4 linked regions of the Arabidopsis thaliana genome follow. The protein of the gene in region 3 interacts with the protein of the main gene of each other region in a pairwise test. Each region holds a gene or a part of one and is shown on either strand. Other genes may lie near its edges.

Region 1 (4,621 bases), on a different chromosome or scaffold from region 3:
TTACTTCCGGAGGCCACAACATGATCCATGTAAGCTATACAAACTAAGTCTGCATAAGGACATATTTATATACATTATATAAAGATTTAAAATGTTTTGTTCAATTAGGGCTTGGGATTCGGTGAGAAGAAGTGAACAAAACTCAGGGGAAAAGAAGCCTAAAAATAACAAACGCATGCACGTGTGCGAGTGGCTGCGTCGTTTTTCTCATCTTGTGTTGTTCTTCTGTGTAATTTTCTTATGTATGTCATGTTGCAGAAAATGATGTTGCCTTAGTTTTTATGACTTTATATTTCTGTCTGTCTTTAGATTTGAAAGTAACGTCACTTGCTATGTCCCTTTGGACGTTTATGTCTGGTCTTTATTTGTCTTAATCCTATCAAAATTTTATATGCGTATTCCTTAATTCCATCTGGGACACTTTTTCTTTTCCCCAATGATTTGCAACTTTCAACATCGTAACTTCGAACTCGAGAATCTCAGATCAGTCCTCAGATGACGTGAGTGTACAGAACAAAACAAAACAAAAGTAAAAATTCACTTTTTCAGCGAATATTCATTACATGTATATATACAAATTGTCTGTAACGCTGTGAAAAGGAAGTAGGCATAGATATCTGAAGCAATTTTCTTCAGAACATTATTGACTGGTGAATAATAACACAACAGTTACAAATTACAATAATACGTGTAACATGATCTGATCCTCTTAATTCCTCTATCTAATCACAAACTAATCAAGCCATGCAGGCTTGTCTTGTCCTTCTGCAGAACAATCTCAAGAAACTCGAACCGGTTTAAAGGAATAAGAATGTTGTAACCTTTTATTAGGAGCCAGGGAAATAAAGCTCATTATATTCCTGCTTCACATCACCAGTGTAATTCCTCTGTTGCTCGATTCTTTGAAGATGTGATGACAGTTGCAGTAGATCAACCGTGGATGTTCCTTTTCCTTTACAAGAACTAGAACCAGCAGAATTGGTCTTGCCAGGATCGATCCACAACGGTTGTTCCATCTGATGATAGTCAGTTGATGATGAGTGATTGAGATTTTGGTTGGGTTGGGTGATTGAGAACGTTGTGTTTGGAAACTTAGACAAGTGTTGTTGGGACTGAGCTGACAGAAGAGAGAGAGCACGAGTAGAGCGTGATGCCGCCGTCTCATGTAAGTCCCAAATGGAGGATACTTCCGTGGAATAAATTGCTGGTTTAGATTCATAAGTTCTGCTGCTGTTTTGCTCATTAGTAGGAAACATGGAACAAGTAGGTTCATCTTTGAAACTCACGAGTCTACTTGTACGGTGGTCGTCTTCATCTATTACTCTGTATAAGAGACTACCAGGAAATGACTCTGGCAATACCAATGATGAATTCTCCAGAAACTTGTTGCCTACTACATCTATGGAAGATCATAAAATACAGAATAGATTCAAATTTGCACGAGTTTGCTAATTCAATACATCAATGGATAGGGAAAAGGCAGAGAGTGAGTACCTTGAGAGGTGCGAAGAAGCTTATGGCGCTTACCCGGTAGGAAATAGAATGCAGGTTTCCTTCTTCGTTCATTGTGACCGGCTAATCGCCTTCTGCAACTTCTTTTGCCATCATCAAACTCTGAGAGGAAATGAAACCTGAACAGAAGAAAAAGGTAAAAGAAACAAACGATCAAGATCCATCAAGAACATTGAAATGACTACAGAGCATGAGACAACTTGAGAGGAGAAAGAATAAAACCTGCTGCACTGTTGACAAAACCTCTGTTCAAGACCATTAACTATGACCACAGAAGTTTTCGAATGAGCCTCGCAAACTCTATGCCTTTTGTGGTAATCTTTCGAAGAGCTCAGATCCTTACTACACCCATAAACTTGACACAAGGGATTCTGAGAGCACAAGTTTGAAGCTCGAGACTTTTTAGATGGCAGAGCAAAACCTCTAGAGGATGTATCATCATCATCATTTCCTAAATCCAAAAAGCTCCTAAGTTTGAAATCTATCCTATTCAATTCCTGACTAGAGAACTTTGAAGAAGAAGATATGTTCTCCTCATCTTCCTCTTCAGGAACAACTTTAGTAATAGAAACAGCACTGAATCCATTGGAGTTACCAGCCATGTCAGAAATCAACACATCATCATTATTAGAGAGTCTCTGTTCAAATCTTCTATTCTTAGCAAAAGTATCACAAGGTAAAAGAGTTTCATTTGACATGAAAACGCTTCTCCCGTAGCTCCAAGAATCCATCAGCAACACTATAATCAATTTCTGCTTTCTTCAACGACAACTAGCAATTCAATAACTGATGCAGAAACCCTAAAGGAGGAAGCTTTCTTCTAAATAGAGAAAACCCAAGACGACGATTCACTTATTCCTTCGATTAACACAAAACCCAGATAGAAATTGACGAAAAGATTCAAACCCTAACAAGAAACAAAGATAAAAATCAATACTTTATCAAGAAAGCAATCACACAACATGATCATCAGTGGAACAAATAAATTAAGACGAAATTTTCGAGTTTCTTATCTTCCATCTAATGCAATTGAGGTGAACGAAATCATAAACAGAGGATCGAAGAATAAGACTTACCGATTAGAGGAACAGAGAAGAACTGTGTATAGGAAGCAAGCAAAAGAGACAGAGAGGTGGAGAAAATATAAGAAAAGTGAAAAATGGGGAATCGAAGGAATAAGGTGAGAGGTGACGTCGAAGCAGATACTGTTTGGGGTCAACATGATTTCCACTAAACCCATCTTCTTCTCCACTTCTCTCTCTCTTTTGCTTCTTTTTTTTTTTTCTTTTTCTATTCTTCATCCTGTAAATTTTATTTGTGTTTGTTTTCCGACACTATTTTGTTCGATCAAGTAAAAGTAAAAAAACAAAAAAAAAAAGTAGAAGTAAAAAAGTTTCTATAGAAATCGAATTTAAGAATGGAGAAGTTGACGTCATGCCTCCTATTTTTTACCATCAAAATTAGTGATAAAACTAATTTTAGGTTTATTTAGTTTAGTGTTATTGCTATGTTAAAACTAACCTAATAAACTTTGTACACATTTTTTTTTTTGATGATGCTTTCGGAACAGCACCTAAACAAAATCTTGGTTGAGTCACAAATAACATACAAATAATACGGTGGCAATGTGGCATGTATTCACACTGTAGACGAACAGCCAAAATTATGTGTTCACACTATCTCGAACAAATGTTAAATGATGATATAAATATGTTGACGACAATCAAAACCAATGAAGAATTTAGAATTCACAATGAACATCGTCCAAAGCGAAAGTTTATAATTTTGGGTTATATTCTAGATTATATTCTAACAAACACGTTTTGGTTAATTATTTTGTTTGTTGGCGGCTTTGAAATGGTAAAGATTAAGAAAAAAAAGAAATACACAACATGGGGAAGCGTATTTTATATAGCAATTTGAAAACATTTGTTTAAGGGCTTAATCTTCTTAAATAAATCGGTTTCAATAAGAATATATATCCAAATTAAAGCATAAGTTAGAAGAAGAATGTATGGGGGGGTTTCCTCAAAAGAAAAAGAAACTTTGGGGTTGCAAAAAGAATAAATAAAATATTAGAGAATCAGCGAGTTGAAGAGATTGGTGGTGGAGCGTGTGTAGACAAAGCCTTCTGACGCTACCCAAACCTTTTGCTTTATTACAAAATCAACCCTTTTCTTTTTTCTTTTTGGTGGGAGCCAGAGCATATCTTGTTGGCCAACCAACCGCACTTTTCAGGTGATGGAATCTAAAGCTAAGTCCTAATTACTTAACACTTGTTTGCTATTAATACTTCTTCTGTAAAATTATAACTTTTTAAGTTTATATAGTTAGATCGGTTCTCATATATTACTATGTAGAAGTTGTAAGTATATTCGATCGTACATTATGTGTGTATCTGAATCTGATCATAGACTTAAAAGTTAAAAAATTAAAACAAACGGATATGTGAAAAAGAGTTGTTTGTTGGTTCCAATTTTGCAAAGCCAGGTCCATCAATTTACGTAGCATAGCAAAGACGTATTTCAAGCCCATTAATTACGGCCCAGCGGGGTCTCTTCCATTTTCACGAAAACTCTCAAAAGATTTCAAACATACTATTCCATGAATCATGATGTAACAGTTACTGTGCAGAGTGCAGACAATGGAGTGTGCACCAAAAAGATTGGCCATGATTTCTATCATTGTATTTGAGAACGATAGAAAGTTCAGGTTCTAACTTTACATTTTAGATCGAAGACCAGAGTTTGTTTTTTATTCAAATTAGACATAAGAAAAGGAAAAAAACTGAACCAAATATTTTGTGATCCAAACAAAATTTCCTTTAACCACATGGAATTTTCTTTAACCACATGACTAATAATACCGAAACGCAATTGAATTTAGTATAATCGGTCCAAATCGAATAATAAATAAAAATTTGTTGAAATTACATGTGTGACAACATATATGACGTTAGTTATTATCTCACCTAACAAAACTCCAAACATACTATTTTAAGTGTCTTTATTTGTAAGATTAATTTTACTTTGCATAATTACCTCAACTTTATGATAATCACATGTTTGGACCCTCCACCCATTAGATGATAGGAGAAAGCAATGTATTA
Region 2 (5,289 bases), on a different chromosome or scaffold from region 3:
ATAAGCTAAAGAGAATTTTCAATGTGTTTCTTTGGAAAGGGATCTCCCTTTTGCGAATGTGCAAATATAGTTTTAAACTATGTTTGCTTACCCAAAAACTAGTGGTGGATTGAGTCTGAAAAGTCTCTCCGATTAGAACTTAAGTGTTCTCCGACCCCAGACTAGATTATTATTTACGATCGTATATGTGGCCCTTTGCGGGTGTCTTAGATGTCATGGGTGTTCAAAACATCTGATTCAGACCATGAGAGTCTCATCAAACTTTTTTCTTAATTAGCGCATATTTAGACATTACTTCACAAAATATACTATTCTAACTAATTCCTTCTTAAACGAACCGTGCAAAGCCGGTTATTCACGATATACCGAGTCTTTTAGGGACGCCTTCACATGACTCATACCGGTATATTTATATAAGTGTGGTTGAATTTTTTTCAGCTATCTCATAACCAGTCAAATTGTTCAAGCCTTTTTTTTATGTGTGGGAAAATTCAATTGCTCAAGCTTATAATTACTATTCTCGTATAGAGCTCTTAAAAGCTAGTTCCTCTTTTGTGATCAGGTCTAAAAGGTCAATCACACAAAAACTCCAATATATAATGCATTAGAATTAACGTTAACAAAAAGAAAAAGGAAATTTATATTATTTAATATATGAAAAAGAGAGAGCAAAAGATCACACATGAAAAATTAGAGCTCCTCTAAATGTGCCATAACTAAAATTCAACAATACTAGCTAAAGGATGACTCTTCTTCGATCCTCCTTAGGATTTGATTCACAGCTGCTGCAATATCTTCTACTGTATTCAATTGGCTCCCTTCTTCAACCTGAATAAACCCATTATTTTAATATTTTCTTTTAAGTTACATGAAAAAGATTGATATATAGTCATTGAAAAGGTAAAAAGATGATTAAAGAAAATGTTTATATTTCGAGGAAGAAGCTTATGAATGTGTCCTGAAACAAGTGGCGTCATTTCGTTCTGCCGTGCACAGTGCATCCACAGTGTTGTGACCACCAAACATGCCCAGTACACATATATATATACACACATTCACACATGTGTAGGCATATGTCATCTTTTTGGTCCCTGATTCTTACAAGAATCAATATTATGATAGTACTCAAAATTTTGTCTTTTTTAATAAATAAGAAATGATGATTTTGACCCCCCAATAATTGAGGCCAGCCCTAACCAAGTAAAAAAGAACGAGAAAAAAGGAACGATTTTTATTTTTGTTCTTGGAAAACCTTTTTTGGCCCAGACAAATAATTCACAACATGTACTAATAAGAGACACATTAAATGCACAAAACATTTGTGATTGGAAAAACAATCAATGAATAATCATTGAACCAAAACCAACAATGGGAGTAATGATTAGTCACCCATTAATTATTAGATACCAATTTAATTTGAATTTGCAAATTCAACCCACTAACCCTAAACAACGGTATTATATAACATGATCACTCTAATCTGGTTAGGAAAAAAAAAACAAAAAATGGTGAAAAAGAGAGAAAAAAATGTACCTTGACGCTGATGGAATAGAGGACGGAGTCGTCTCGAGTTGTGACGTTTAGATGGAGAAGAGTGAGCCTTAGGCTCTGTATCGATGAGACCAGTTTAAGAAGCTGTCTCGGTCTCTTTTTCGCAAGTATTTTCAGACTCGCATGGCTCTCTACCATCGTTACCTCTATCTCCGCCATCCCCTCAGCCGCCGCCGCAGAGGTAGGCCGGTTCGAGTACTGAGGAAATGCAAAGAAATCCGAGAATGGTCCCGACGAACTAGCCGAGGTTGTTTTGGTCTGGTCGTGGCCGGCTCCGGTGTCTTCTGTGGCGGTCTTAACCGGAGGTTCCATTGATTGTAAATGATGCTCAAGCTCCTTTAAGTAGTTAATGGCTCCGCCTACTATCGATGCTTGATCTCCCTTTAACCACCACCAACCTTATGTTAGTCTAGCACATAGAAATTGCAAAAGGTTTTGCAAAAACAATCAAACATGTCTATATTTCGTACCTTAATTTTTTAAAAAATATATTATGTCACCATCTCATTATAAATCTATAATATGTATAGTCCTTTTTGGGTGCAATGATGTTCAAGACTTTATTTATGCTCCCACAATTCCACTAACAAAATTTTCATTTAGAGACTACATGATCTAATAAAATTATGAAAAAAAGAAATAACGACTTTCGTTTAGTTTTTATTTTTTGTCAATATATATAACGGCTTTCATTCATCTATCATCATTCTCAAATTTATATTTCAAAACATATAAACATACATGCATATGACATATCTATGTATAGCCTATGCATGTCCTAATTAGCTGAAAGCCTAGAACATAGGCTTTGCTTTTTTTTTTTTTTTTTGACACGTCAAGAAATACAGCTAAAGGACTGAATATTTCACGCGCTCACACTCACATATACATATAACTGTTGTATGTAGAGACTAACCCTTTGAGCATAATAAGGTGGCATGAGAGACCGGAGAACGGCGAGGTACTCGTTCATCTGTTTCCGGCGATTTCTTTCAACGGCGATGTGAGTCATCCTCTGGTTCTCGATCTCTTCTTTGTTCTTGCTACTCCTCGTCCTCCTCCTTTTCCTCCTCCCTCCTCCCGCCGCCACATCCGACGGTGGAGGCTGGCTCTCGGTGTCGACGGCAGATCCATAAGGAAGGTCTCGTGGCCATTGGAGATCCTCTTCGTTGTAATTATAATCATCACTATAATCTCCGGTTCTACCGTTGTAATTATTACTCGCAAAACCATGTCCTTGTCCTTGCCCTAGCTTAATGTTGTTCTTAGTATCTTGTGGATCTTGATCTTCTTCTTCTTGAAAGTATAAGTCGTAAAACGGAAAATCTTTGCAAGAGATGTAGGAGAACGGATCTTGCGGGTAAACTACAGCCTCCAAGGCCATAATTAGCTAGAAAATTGCTTGAAATATTAAAATTACACTTGAATATGAAAAGGTTTCCAGCGAGAGAGAAAAAGAGAGGAAAAAAAAAGAGGACAGAAAGTGTTTCTCTTTCTCTTTTTGTCTCGAGAGGGAGACAAGGCAAAAGGTAAAGACACTCTAGGGAAATTAAACTTGTAATTATCCCTCTACAAGAAAGAAAAAAAATCAACAGAAATTTGTTCTCAAAGAACTAAGTAAACTTGAAGAAGAAAAGACAAGAGAAGTACTCAAAAAAAGGTCAAACAAAGTTGTGGTTTGATCTATGGAATAGAGGAGAAGCTTGTGAGGTTATAAAGCTGATTTAACAATAGAAGGTCCGAAGAAAATCGAAACCAACTGAGTTCAGAAAAAGTAGAGATATAGAGAGAGAGAGATCGTGTATGTTTGGTTTTGCACGTGAGATTGTAGACCGGTCCACAAAACCAAAGAAAAGATTCTGTGTGTTTTTGCAGGCTTTGGGGTTCGTCTTGTTACACTCATGTTCGAAGAGAGAGAAATTATAACATGTTGAAATATCAACTTTATACGTTGCCATGAATTTAATATTTTTTTGCCGTATACCATGTGAGTCAAAATGTAATCTAATGAAAGCTATATCCCAAAATTTAGAGTGTTTGCGGTGATAATTATGTCGTCTATCCTCTTTTAGGTATTCAAACAATAATTTGCTTCTATTGTGCGTGTGTAACGCGTATTGATGGACAGGAAGAGGAAAGAGAGCTTGACATCAAAGTTTTTTTTTGTTTCTATGTATCAGCCGACGTCAAAGCTTTATAAATTCGAAATCTAAAGGCTTATTTATACGAGTATTTTTTCCCCGAACCATGCGGAGACAATGACCGCTGATTTATTCTTTTTATATGAAATCATATCGTTTATCACATAACCCTACCCGTAATGGAATAACCGTAAAAAAACATCAAGACCATGCATGGGTCCGAAAGCATATTGCCTTTATATAGATACAACTCTTGGAAATCACGATTTGTAGAGTAAAAAATAAATTTTAAATCAATAAATGTGCTTAATTAATTTTACAATCTATCAACTAGTTTTTGATTAGTAAATTTTGGCTTTTAAAGTAATAGAATCCTGATGACAACTTAGAGTAAATATTATAATTTCGTAGCAGTAACATTCGTTCAATAGTTTAAATTTTATATAGGAGAGAAATGTTGAGAGACAAAAAAAAAAGGAGAGAAATGTTGAGAAAATCATCTTCATCAATCATCATACATGATAAATGTTAATATATTAAATAAATAAATAAAAACAGAACAAAAATGTATTTTGAAGGAAATGAAATTTACTGTTAATGAATTTTCTAAAATAAACTTTTAGTTTGGGGCAAAGTGAATAATACTATAACTTGTTGGTCGTGCGATTGAATGCAATTACTCGGTGGTAAACTATTTTATACCGCCGAAAAATGGTTAATATATATATATATATATATATATATTGTCACAAAATTTATAGTAAAAAAAGAAATAATAGTAACAACAATATCATATAATTTGAAAATATGTGTTCTTTTTTTAAAACAAGATAATATTAGAAAACATTTAAAATATTAAGATTAGAAGACATTTAAAATATGTAAATTTGTCTTAAAAATATATTTTCAACTGTCTGGTTCCCATGTCTTTGATACTTAAAAACAACTGTTTAAAAAAAAAAAAAAAAAAAACTTACGTGGATATTGATTAAGAAACAGAAATTGAGAGATAAAAATTACTCGACTATGCAAGTTTCGAATGTTCGTAAAATGATGATGATCAAACCATATTCAACTCAAAAACCTGATCTTCCAATCTTGTACAAAAAGAATCCCTGATCTTCCAACTGATGATGGGAATTAAACACTCACATTTGCATTCAATCCACTTAGACGGACAAATTTGATCATAGAAAAAATTCACGGATAAAAATAAGAATAACATTTCGGCGTGTGGGGTAATGCTTTATTAATGTAATCATGTCATGCTTAAAACAAAGTATTCTTGATGTTGACATATGTAAGAATAAGAGACGATATCCCAACTTAATTTGTATATTAACTAGGTGGCATCTTTCCATTAGTCTAATTAATAATTATCGAACTTTTATGCGGTATAGAAGATGTGAGAATTAGATGGCTATGACACGACTTAGGGTTGCTGTGTAACAAAGTTGTTTGGTCGCTTTAACCAATAGAGGGAAGCAACAACTTAAATATGTGATGCAAAACGAAATCTAAGCGAAAAATCATTTGATCGAAACTCGAAAGAATCCCACTATTTAGAAACACGGTGGAAAATAAATCTAAGGCTATG
Region 3 (3,002 bases):
CCCATCTTACAGATTAGATAACAGCAGGTGACAAATTTCCAGATATATTTGCTGCATCAAAATATTGGTAATGTGATTAATGATGAACGAAAAATAACATAACATACACTAACACATAGCTGTTCAGAACACCACTGAGTTGATAAGTTTTAGAACTGATTTTTCTTATATTTCTCTTTAAGTTTGATTTACAACAGATAGAAACAATTCATGAACAAACCAAATACAGAACAAAAAGTAGCCCTGGGAATGAGTTATAGAGCATCCCTTACCCTCCCAAGGCCAAGACCATCCAAAAATACCTGATAATCCCTATCTGTTTCTTTCCAAACTATATAGACCACTTGAGCAGCCATTCTACACAAGACACAAACTATAAAACTTTCTTCATGTCTTTATCATCCAATCTTTCTTTTTTGGGTTATCATCATTCACCACTGCCCAATTACTTAAGCTCCTCATAAGATCAATAAAGTCCTTTCTGATTCATACAAATGCAGTTGCTGCAAATTTGGTTGGAAATGTCAGAAAACCACTCAGCTCCAATAAGATGATCATCAAAAAAGTTTTGGATGAAACTAAAGATGACTGCTTTAGCCTTAAGGTGAAATGCAATGCATTGTAGCTACCATGCAGCTAATTTTCAAAGCTGGAACTAGTTTTAACAATTCTCTAGATGAAAGTAGCAGACCAACTGATATTGTTATAGATGGAACAAAATCGAGTAGAGAGGTCATATACATTCTGAAATCAATAGCATCCAAGGCGAGATGATTTCTGCAGTATTGGCTGATTAAACTATCCCTGACCCAAGTCTGGTAAGAAGAAGAAAAGACGGCGTCGCGCCTCCTTTGTCGGAGAAGAAGAGTCGAAGAAGACAAGCAAAGGCAACAAAGCAAAGAGAAGTTGGGCCGTGTGGCTTATTAAAAAGGTTATTGGGCTATAGTTAAGCCCATGTACTATTTGGGTTTTAGTTGGTTAAGTTTCAGGGTTTTTTTTTTTTAAAAAGTAGATTTCTACGATAAATGTGTGTGTGAAGATGTTGAAAGTTGAAACTTCATAAATAAGGTTCCTGAAGAATTCAACATTCTTGGTTGATCATATAATACTCTCTCACGATTGACAGTCCAAATGACTTTCAACTCTTTAATCTAAAGTCTAAACCACAATCTAAATCCGGTTTAAACGCAGTCACGATTCCATCATTGATGATGTCTTATATCACACACATAGATTAGGCCTTAGGGTATCAAATAGTGTTTTAGGTGAGAAAAGCAGTTGTCAGATTTTGATTTTTAAGAATGCAATCATTTGACTTTTAGTTTGACTTCCTTTTGGTTCTTCTTAGCCACTCTTTCTCATATTCTACACGTGCTCATTAACGTTCCAAAGTCAATAAAAAATCACGAAGCCAACAATAAAATGTGCAACAAATAATATTAAACATGTTAGACAGACGAAAGAGAATTATTCTTTATACGTATTTAACATAATGTGCCTTGTCGGTTACCAAACAAAATAAAATATGGCTTGTTAGTGGTCGGTAATATGTAACACGTTGTGTGTTTGTTGTCCTTGTCAAACCAGCAATGCTGCTTAATTTATTTAGATAGGAACCCAAGTTTAAAGAAGACTTTTTTTTTGGTCAAGTAAGAAAATGTCAAAACCTCTGAAACTTTCTTTATTTTGTTTATAAATACATTACTCCATGAATACGTTACAAAGATCTTAATCTCACAAGTCTCACATTTTCTAGGTGGACCAACCAAAACCCAAAATCTTTAATTCCCTCTATAGTGCTCTTTTCTCTTTTCGAAATACAACCGTAAAAACATGAAGAGAGACCGGTCCGATTACGAAGAATCCATGAAGCATATAGACATAGTAGAAAGTCTAATGATGTTATCTCGAAGTTTCGTGGTCAAACAAATCGATGTAAAGCAATCTACCGGAAGCAAAACGAACCATAATAACCACTTCGAATGCAAAACGTGTAACCGGAAATTTGATTCCTTCCAAGCTCTTGGAGGTCATAGAGCTAGCCACAAGAAACCTAAGCTGATCGTTGACCAAGAACAGGTGAAGCATCGTAACAAAGAGAATGATATGCATAAGTGTACAATTTGCGATCAAATGTTTGGGACCGGTCAAGCTCTAGGCGGTCACATGAGAAAGCATAGGACGAGCATGATAACCGAGCAATCGATTGTCCCTTCTGTGGTTTATTCCAGACCGGTTTTTAATCGTTGCAGTAGCAGCAAGGAGATCTTGGACTTAAATCTAACTCCATTGGAAAATGATCTTGTGTTAATCTTTGGGAAGAATTTGGTTCCACAAATTGATTTGAAGTTTGTGAATTAGTAGGGTTTTAAACCTTTCTCTGTACTTTTGTTGTTGTTTTTTTCTCTCTTGCTACACATTATTTCATTCTTTCCGTCATGTATGCATACACAATTTGTTTGAATAAAAGGTTTCAATTCTTGCAATGAGTGATAAAACATTAATAGTTGAAAGTTTGAAACAGAACCATTCTCGAATGTATACATAGAATCCAATATCATTGGTGTGTGAGTGAGATAAACTGATATTATCATAAGTCATAATCTGATGTCAGAGAATCCATTCCAGAAATATGGAATACGAATTGTGTCCTTCACAGTCACACTATACCATTAGGGAAAGAGAGAATCTTAAAAGAATACGTAGAAACACCATCTCATATAGAAGAAAAGCAAAAGAAGATTGATTTCCTTTTTCATTTTTTCTTTCCAAATACCATTTCTCTTTCACTAGCCAGATTCTCTCCTTTGACAGGCGTCGTGGACCCAATTTTTATGTGCCGCAACATGCTGATTTCTGAGTAGCTTGAGATGTTCCCGCACCTTGGTCGGATTGGTTGATTTTGATTGTTTGCGGCTACAAAAATGATAAGAAATTCGATGACGTTAGTAAGGTTGATACACATACTGAAATGTGATTTTTACCACAATTGCAATGTATGA
Region 4 (4,373 bases), on a different chromosome or scaffold from region 3:
GCCCATTCGTTAGTGATATAAAACAAAGTATCATCAGTATATAGCTAGTTTCGAGATAGTATGTACAACTTTTAAATATTAATTACCTATGCTTAAATAGTAATAGTATTATGTATGTGCATGTGCTTTGTACATACAATTTTGTCTTCTTGTTGATTAATTATTAAACAGCTCGAAGTTTTAAGACTATGTAGCTTAGCCTATGTCAATGTCATCAATCTATATGCAATATATATAGAGCCTCAGGCACATAAACCGTAGTCCCCATATAAAAAAGGGAATGAAACAGCTAATAACTCCATAGAGAATAAATTCACATTCAAAGCAAATTCACCACCCCAATCTTCTCAATGGTTCGGTTTCTTTTTTCAATTCTTACATTGTACTAAAAGCTAAAAATTCAGACTGATACGATACGAATAGGTTTTTGAAAATATAAAAATTAATCAATTTCCATTAAAGGGCTGAATAGCTAAAAACTCCATAGAGAACAAGTCGCTTTATTGGATTTAGATTTTAAAAAGACGGCGCTCGTGAATTATTAAAGTTTAAACTAAGATAAGATTTAAAGAGATTTAGAGGAGACGTAATCTGGTGTATATCGTTCACATAGAGTCACGTCACTGTATAATCCATCGACCACTAAGGTTTTAGAGTTTAGTTTCAAATCTTACTTTTTCATGCAGGTGTACCGTATGTCACACAGATTATAGTAGTCGCCAACTTACGTTCCCAATGGGTGATAACGGCGTCAACGTCCTCCGTCACGATCGTGTCGTAAGCTGTACACTGTATAGGTTCCGTGAACCTTAAAATCGGATTTGGAAAGCTACGTACGTACGTAAATATTGGTTAAAAAGTTCAAACAGTTTTGATCTCTCTTTTATTACAAACAAACTGTACTTCCGACAATTTTCTTTCTTTCTATTTCAAGTACGTTTTCGTGTCTAACTATATTAACATCTAACTTCTGACTTTTATACTCTGATGGGACAATCTTTAATTCTTAAATTCTAAGTTGTACCATGCGAATGGATATTAGATTTTGTCAGTACAATTGCTGACTATGAATGAAGTACTCTAACATCATTATTGGTTCCTGAATAATGAGTACTTAAACAAAACAAATTTGAAGTAACGTAACCATGACATATTAGATCCATGTCCCCTAAAACGTATTAAAATTATTTCCTTACGTCGTTAAATTTCGAATCTAGTGTTAAATTGTTACATTGGTTGTTAAACTACCGACCCAATAAAAAAAAAGAAACTAATATTTATGATTGGTGCATCTTGTTGTAAATTGTAATCGTATGGCCTACCAGCGATTTCATTGTCCCCAACATACAGATATTTTTGTTCGTGTGTTATAAATTAGGGTAGAAACATCACATATTTTACAGAGACAAAGAAAAAAACAAGAATCGTAATAAAATGATATTATGGATACATGTAGATTATAAGATGAGAAATAATAATTTGTCACGGGTCCATCAGTATACTCGTCAAAATTGATTAGGTAGGTAATTTACTTCACATGCTCTTCCTGTATACAAGTATAAAGTATGTATTTTCATCTAAAATCTACTCTTTTCTCAATTACATTTTATATAGAAAAATTCATATTCTTAAGAAATAGTAGTAAAATTGTTCTTGAAAAAAAATATGAAAAGGCATTTTCCGTGACTCAGCCTCACAGGCGGCTTAAAACGACGTCTTTTTCAATTTTAATAAATTTTTGGTAAAAAAGCTTTTGGATCCGCCGCTATCTTCAGCAATTAAAGTTGGACGCAGAAACTCAGAAGCAAAAAGACGATAAATATTCATCATCACCTTCATCTCTCTCTTCCTCTCATCAGACTTCACCGTTCTTCTTTCTCTCTTCTTCATCTTCAGACGAAACCTCCTTTACTTCCCCTTCAAGGTTTTATATTTCCCAAATCCTACACCTGCTCACATCTCAAGCTCAAGTTTTGTTTTCCCGGGAAAAGTGACACAAACAAGAACTTAACAAGGGAGAAGAAAAAGCTTATATTCATATCAACGGTTGACGTTGGAAAGCTATTAAGATTTGGTTTTCTACAAATTTGTTCTTCCTGAAACGTCACGAGACAGAGCTTACAAGAAGAGAAAACAGAGGAAATTTCGTTGCATTTTTTTTACATATTGATTCGATTAATGGATTCAAATAATCATCTCTACGACCCGAATCCCACCGGGTCGGGTCTTCTTCGTTTTAGATCAGCTCCGAGCTCTGTTCTCGCCGCTTTTGTTGACGACGACAAGATTGGTTTCGACTCCGATAGGTTGCTTTCAAGATTCGTGACCTCTAATGGCGTTAACGGAGATCTGGGTTCACCTAAATTCGAGGATAAGTCTCCGGTTTCGTTAACGAACACCTCTGTTTCATACGCCGCCACTCTGCCGCCACCGCCGCAGCTTGAGCCGTCGAGTTTTCTGGGTTTGCCGCCGCATTACCCGAGGCAGAGTAAAGGGATAATGAACTCGGTTGGTTTGGATCAGTTTCTCGGTATCAATAATCATCACACCAAACCAGTTGAATCTAATCTTCTCCGTCAAAGCAGCTCTCCAGCCGGAATGTTTACTAATCTCTCTGACCAAAACGGTACCGTTTTGCTCTCTGCTACAAAGTTTTTCCCCCTTTTTTTAGTCTGAAATATTTTTTTCATTTATAACAGAAGTGTTTTTGGTACTTCTTGATTCAACTTTTTTGAATGTTTTAACACTTGCTTCAAGATTTTTGAATGTTTTACGTTCCTTGAGAATAATTTTAAGACAAGATCTGATTTGATTTTGTCAACCATAGAGTTAAAGCACTTTGGACTCAACAAATCTAATAAGTGTTTACTATATACTTACAAATTTGCAGGTTATGGTTCAATGAGGAATTTGATGAATTACGAAGAAGATGAAGAGAGTCCATCTAATTCCAATGGATTAAGACGCCATTGCAGTCTCTCTTCAAGGCCACCTTCTTCACTTGGAATGCTTTCTCAAATACCTGAAATCGCACCCGAAACTAATTTTCCATATAGCCATTGGAATGATCCATCCAGCTTTATTGATAACTTATCCTCACTTAAAAGAGAAGCCGAGGACGATGGAAAATTGTTTCTCGGAGCTCAGGTAACTCGGTTATCTAACCGGTTTGTTTTGGTTATTGATCAGTAGCTGAAAGTGGAGTTGATTTCTTGGAGTGGTTTCTAATGATGTTTTTGATGGGTTTCTACAGAACGGAGAGTCCGGGAATCGTATGCAGTTACTGTCGCATCATTTGAGCCTACCAAAGTCATCATCGACAGCCTCGGACATGGTTTCAGTGGATAAGTATCTTCAGCTACAAGATTCTGTTCCTTGTAAAATCAGAGCCAAACGTGGTTGCGCTACACATCCTCGAAGCATCGCTGAACGGGTAACTTCACCTAGTTAAGGCCATCTTTACATATATCAATGGAAGTCCATTTGAAGCAGAATCTAGTTTGTTTTCAGAAAGCCTTTCCTAAGAAATCTTGTCAATTGTGTCAGGTAAGAAGAACGCGGATAAGCGAGCGAATGAGGAAGTTACAAGAGCTTGTTCCTAACATGGACAAGGTACAGTTTTCAGGAACTTCCTTGTAATGACTTTTGATCATAAACAAATTGTTAAATGATGTTGTTTTCTTTATGTTTTAACAGCAAACCAACACTTCGGATATGTTGGATTTAGCTGTGGATTACATCAAAGATTTACAAAGACAGTATAAGGTAAAGTTCCTGATCATTGTGGAAAAAAAACAAAGGGGCCTGTTTAGTCTTCTGTTGAATTGATTTAGTCTTCTGTTGGTTTTACACAGATTTTAAACGACAACAGAGCTAACTGTAAGTGTATGAACAAGGAGAAGAAGTCAATATAGGGCGCAACAAAGTGTGTAGTAGATAGGACTAAAAAGCAGGGAGAAGGACAAGAAAGAAACAATGTCATGTCTGAATATTTTTTAGCCGAAACAGACCAAATTGTCTATGTAAGCTCTCGAGAAAAGCATCTGCTTCCAACAAAATTCTAAGTAATAAAATAGTACTCGATTTGTTCTTATTTCATTATTACAATGCAGAATCTACTAATCAAATGTTGTACTACAAAAGGTAAGATCAACTACGGTAGCTAAATGCGAAAATTATGACCAGAAGAACAAAGAAAGACTCGAAAACTAAGCAGAAAACATAAATTATTCTTCCATGTGATCTGCAGCGTCAGAATCTTTGATATCACCAGTAAGACTACTCCTGGTCACAACCAAAGTAAGAATCACACATGAAGTAGAGTGTATACGACTTCTCTCCTGGTTCAGTTGGTACTGCAAACTCCAGCTACG

The links.
Region 1: the proteins of AT3G53600 (region 3) and AT1G69170 interact in a two-hybrid assay, tested with the Arabidopsis thaliana proteins (one large-scale study listed by BioGRID).
Region 2: the proteins of AT3G53600 (region 3) and AT1G72210 interact in a two-hybrid assay, tested with the Arabidopsis thaliana proteins (one large-scale study listed by BioGRID).
Region 4: the proteins of AT3G53600 (region 3) and FBH4 interact in a two-hybrid assay, tested with the Arabidopsis thaliana proteins (one large-scale study listed by BioGRID).

The regions. Positions count from the first base shown.
Region 1 is NC_003070.9:26,003,248-26,007,868, reverse strand, and holds AT1G69170 (Squamosa promoter-binding protein-like (SBP domain) transcription factor family protein), read right to left. Parts: upstream 2,802-4,621; 5' UTR 2,589-2,801; intron 2,420-2,588; 5' UTR 2,244-2,419; coding exon 1,735-2,243; intron 1,632-1,734; coding exon 1,495-1,631; intron 1,400-1,494; coding exon 828-1,399; 3' UTR 501-827; downstream 1-500. Other genes in the region: CRC (Plant-specific transcription factor YABBY family protein), read left to right, coding at 1-29, 109-135. UniProt on the Arabidopsis thaliana protein: Trans-acting factor that binds specifically to the consensus nucleotide sequence 5'-TNCGTACAA-3'.
Region 2 is NC_003070.9:27,177,712-27,183,000, reverse strand, and holds AT1G72210 (basic helix-loop-helix (bHLH) DNA-binding superfamily protein), read right to left. Parts: upstream 3,544-5,289; 5' UTR 2,936-3,543; coding exon 2,468-2,935; intron 1,933-2,467; coding exon 1,534-1,932; coding exon of another isoform or gene 1,471-1,533; exon of another isoform or gene 829-1,470; coding exon 733-828; 3' UTR 545-732; downstream 1-544.
Region 3 is NC_003074.8:19,873,699-19,876,700, forward strand, and holds AT3G53600 (C2H2-type zinc finger family protein), read left to right. Parts: upstream 1-1,676; 5' UTR 1,677-1,833; coding exon 1,834-2,361; 3' UTR 2,362-2,479; downstream 2,480-3,002. Other genes in the region: RAB8 (RAB GTPase homolog 8), read right to left, coding at 2,833-2,916. UniProt on the Arabidopsis thaliana protein: Transcription factor involved in stress responses. Positive regulator of the jasmonic acid (JA)- mediated signaling pathway. Triggers the up-regulation of LOX3, VSP2, PAL1 and PAL2 in a JA-dependent manner.
Region 4 is NC_003071.7:17,610,969-17,615,341, reverse strand, and holds FBH4 (basic helix-loop-helix (bHLH) DNA-binding superfamily protein), read left to right. Parts: upstream 1-1,750; 5' UTR 1,751-2,178; coding exon 2,179-2,626; intron 2,627-2,890; coding exon 2,891-3,147; intron 3,148-3,253; coding exon 3,254-3,433; coding exon of another isoform or gene 3,434-3,451; exon of another isoform or gene 3,452-3,546; coding exon 3,547-3,612; intron 3,613-3,696; coding exon 3,697-3,828; downstream 3,829-4,373.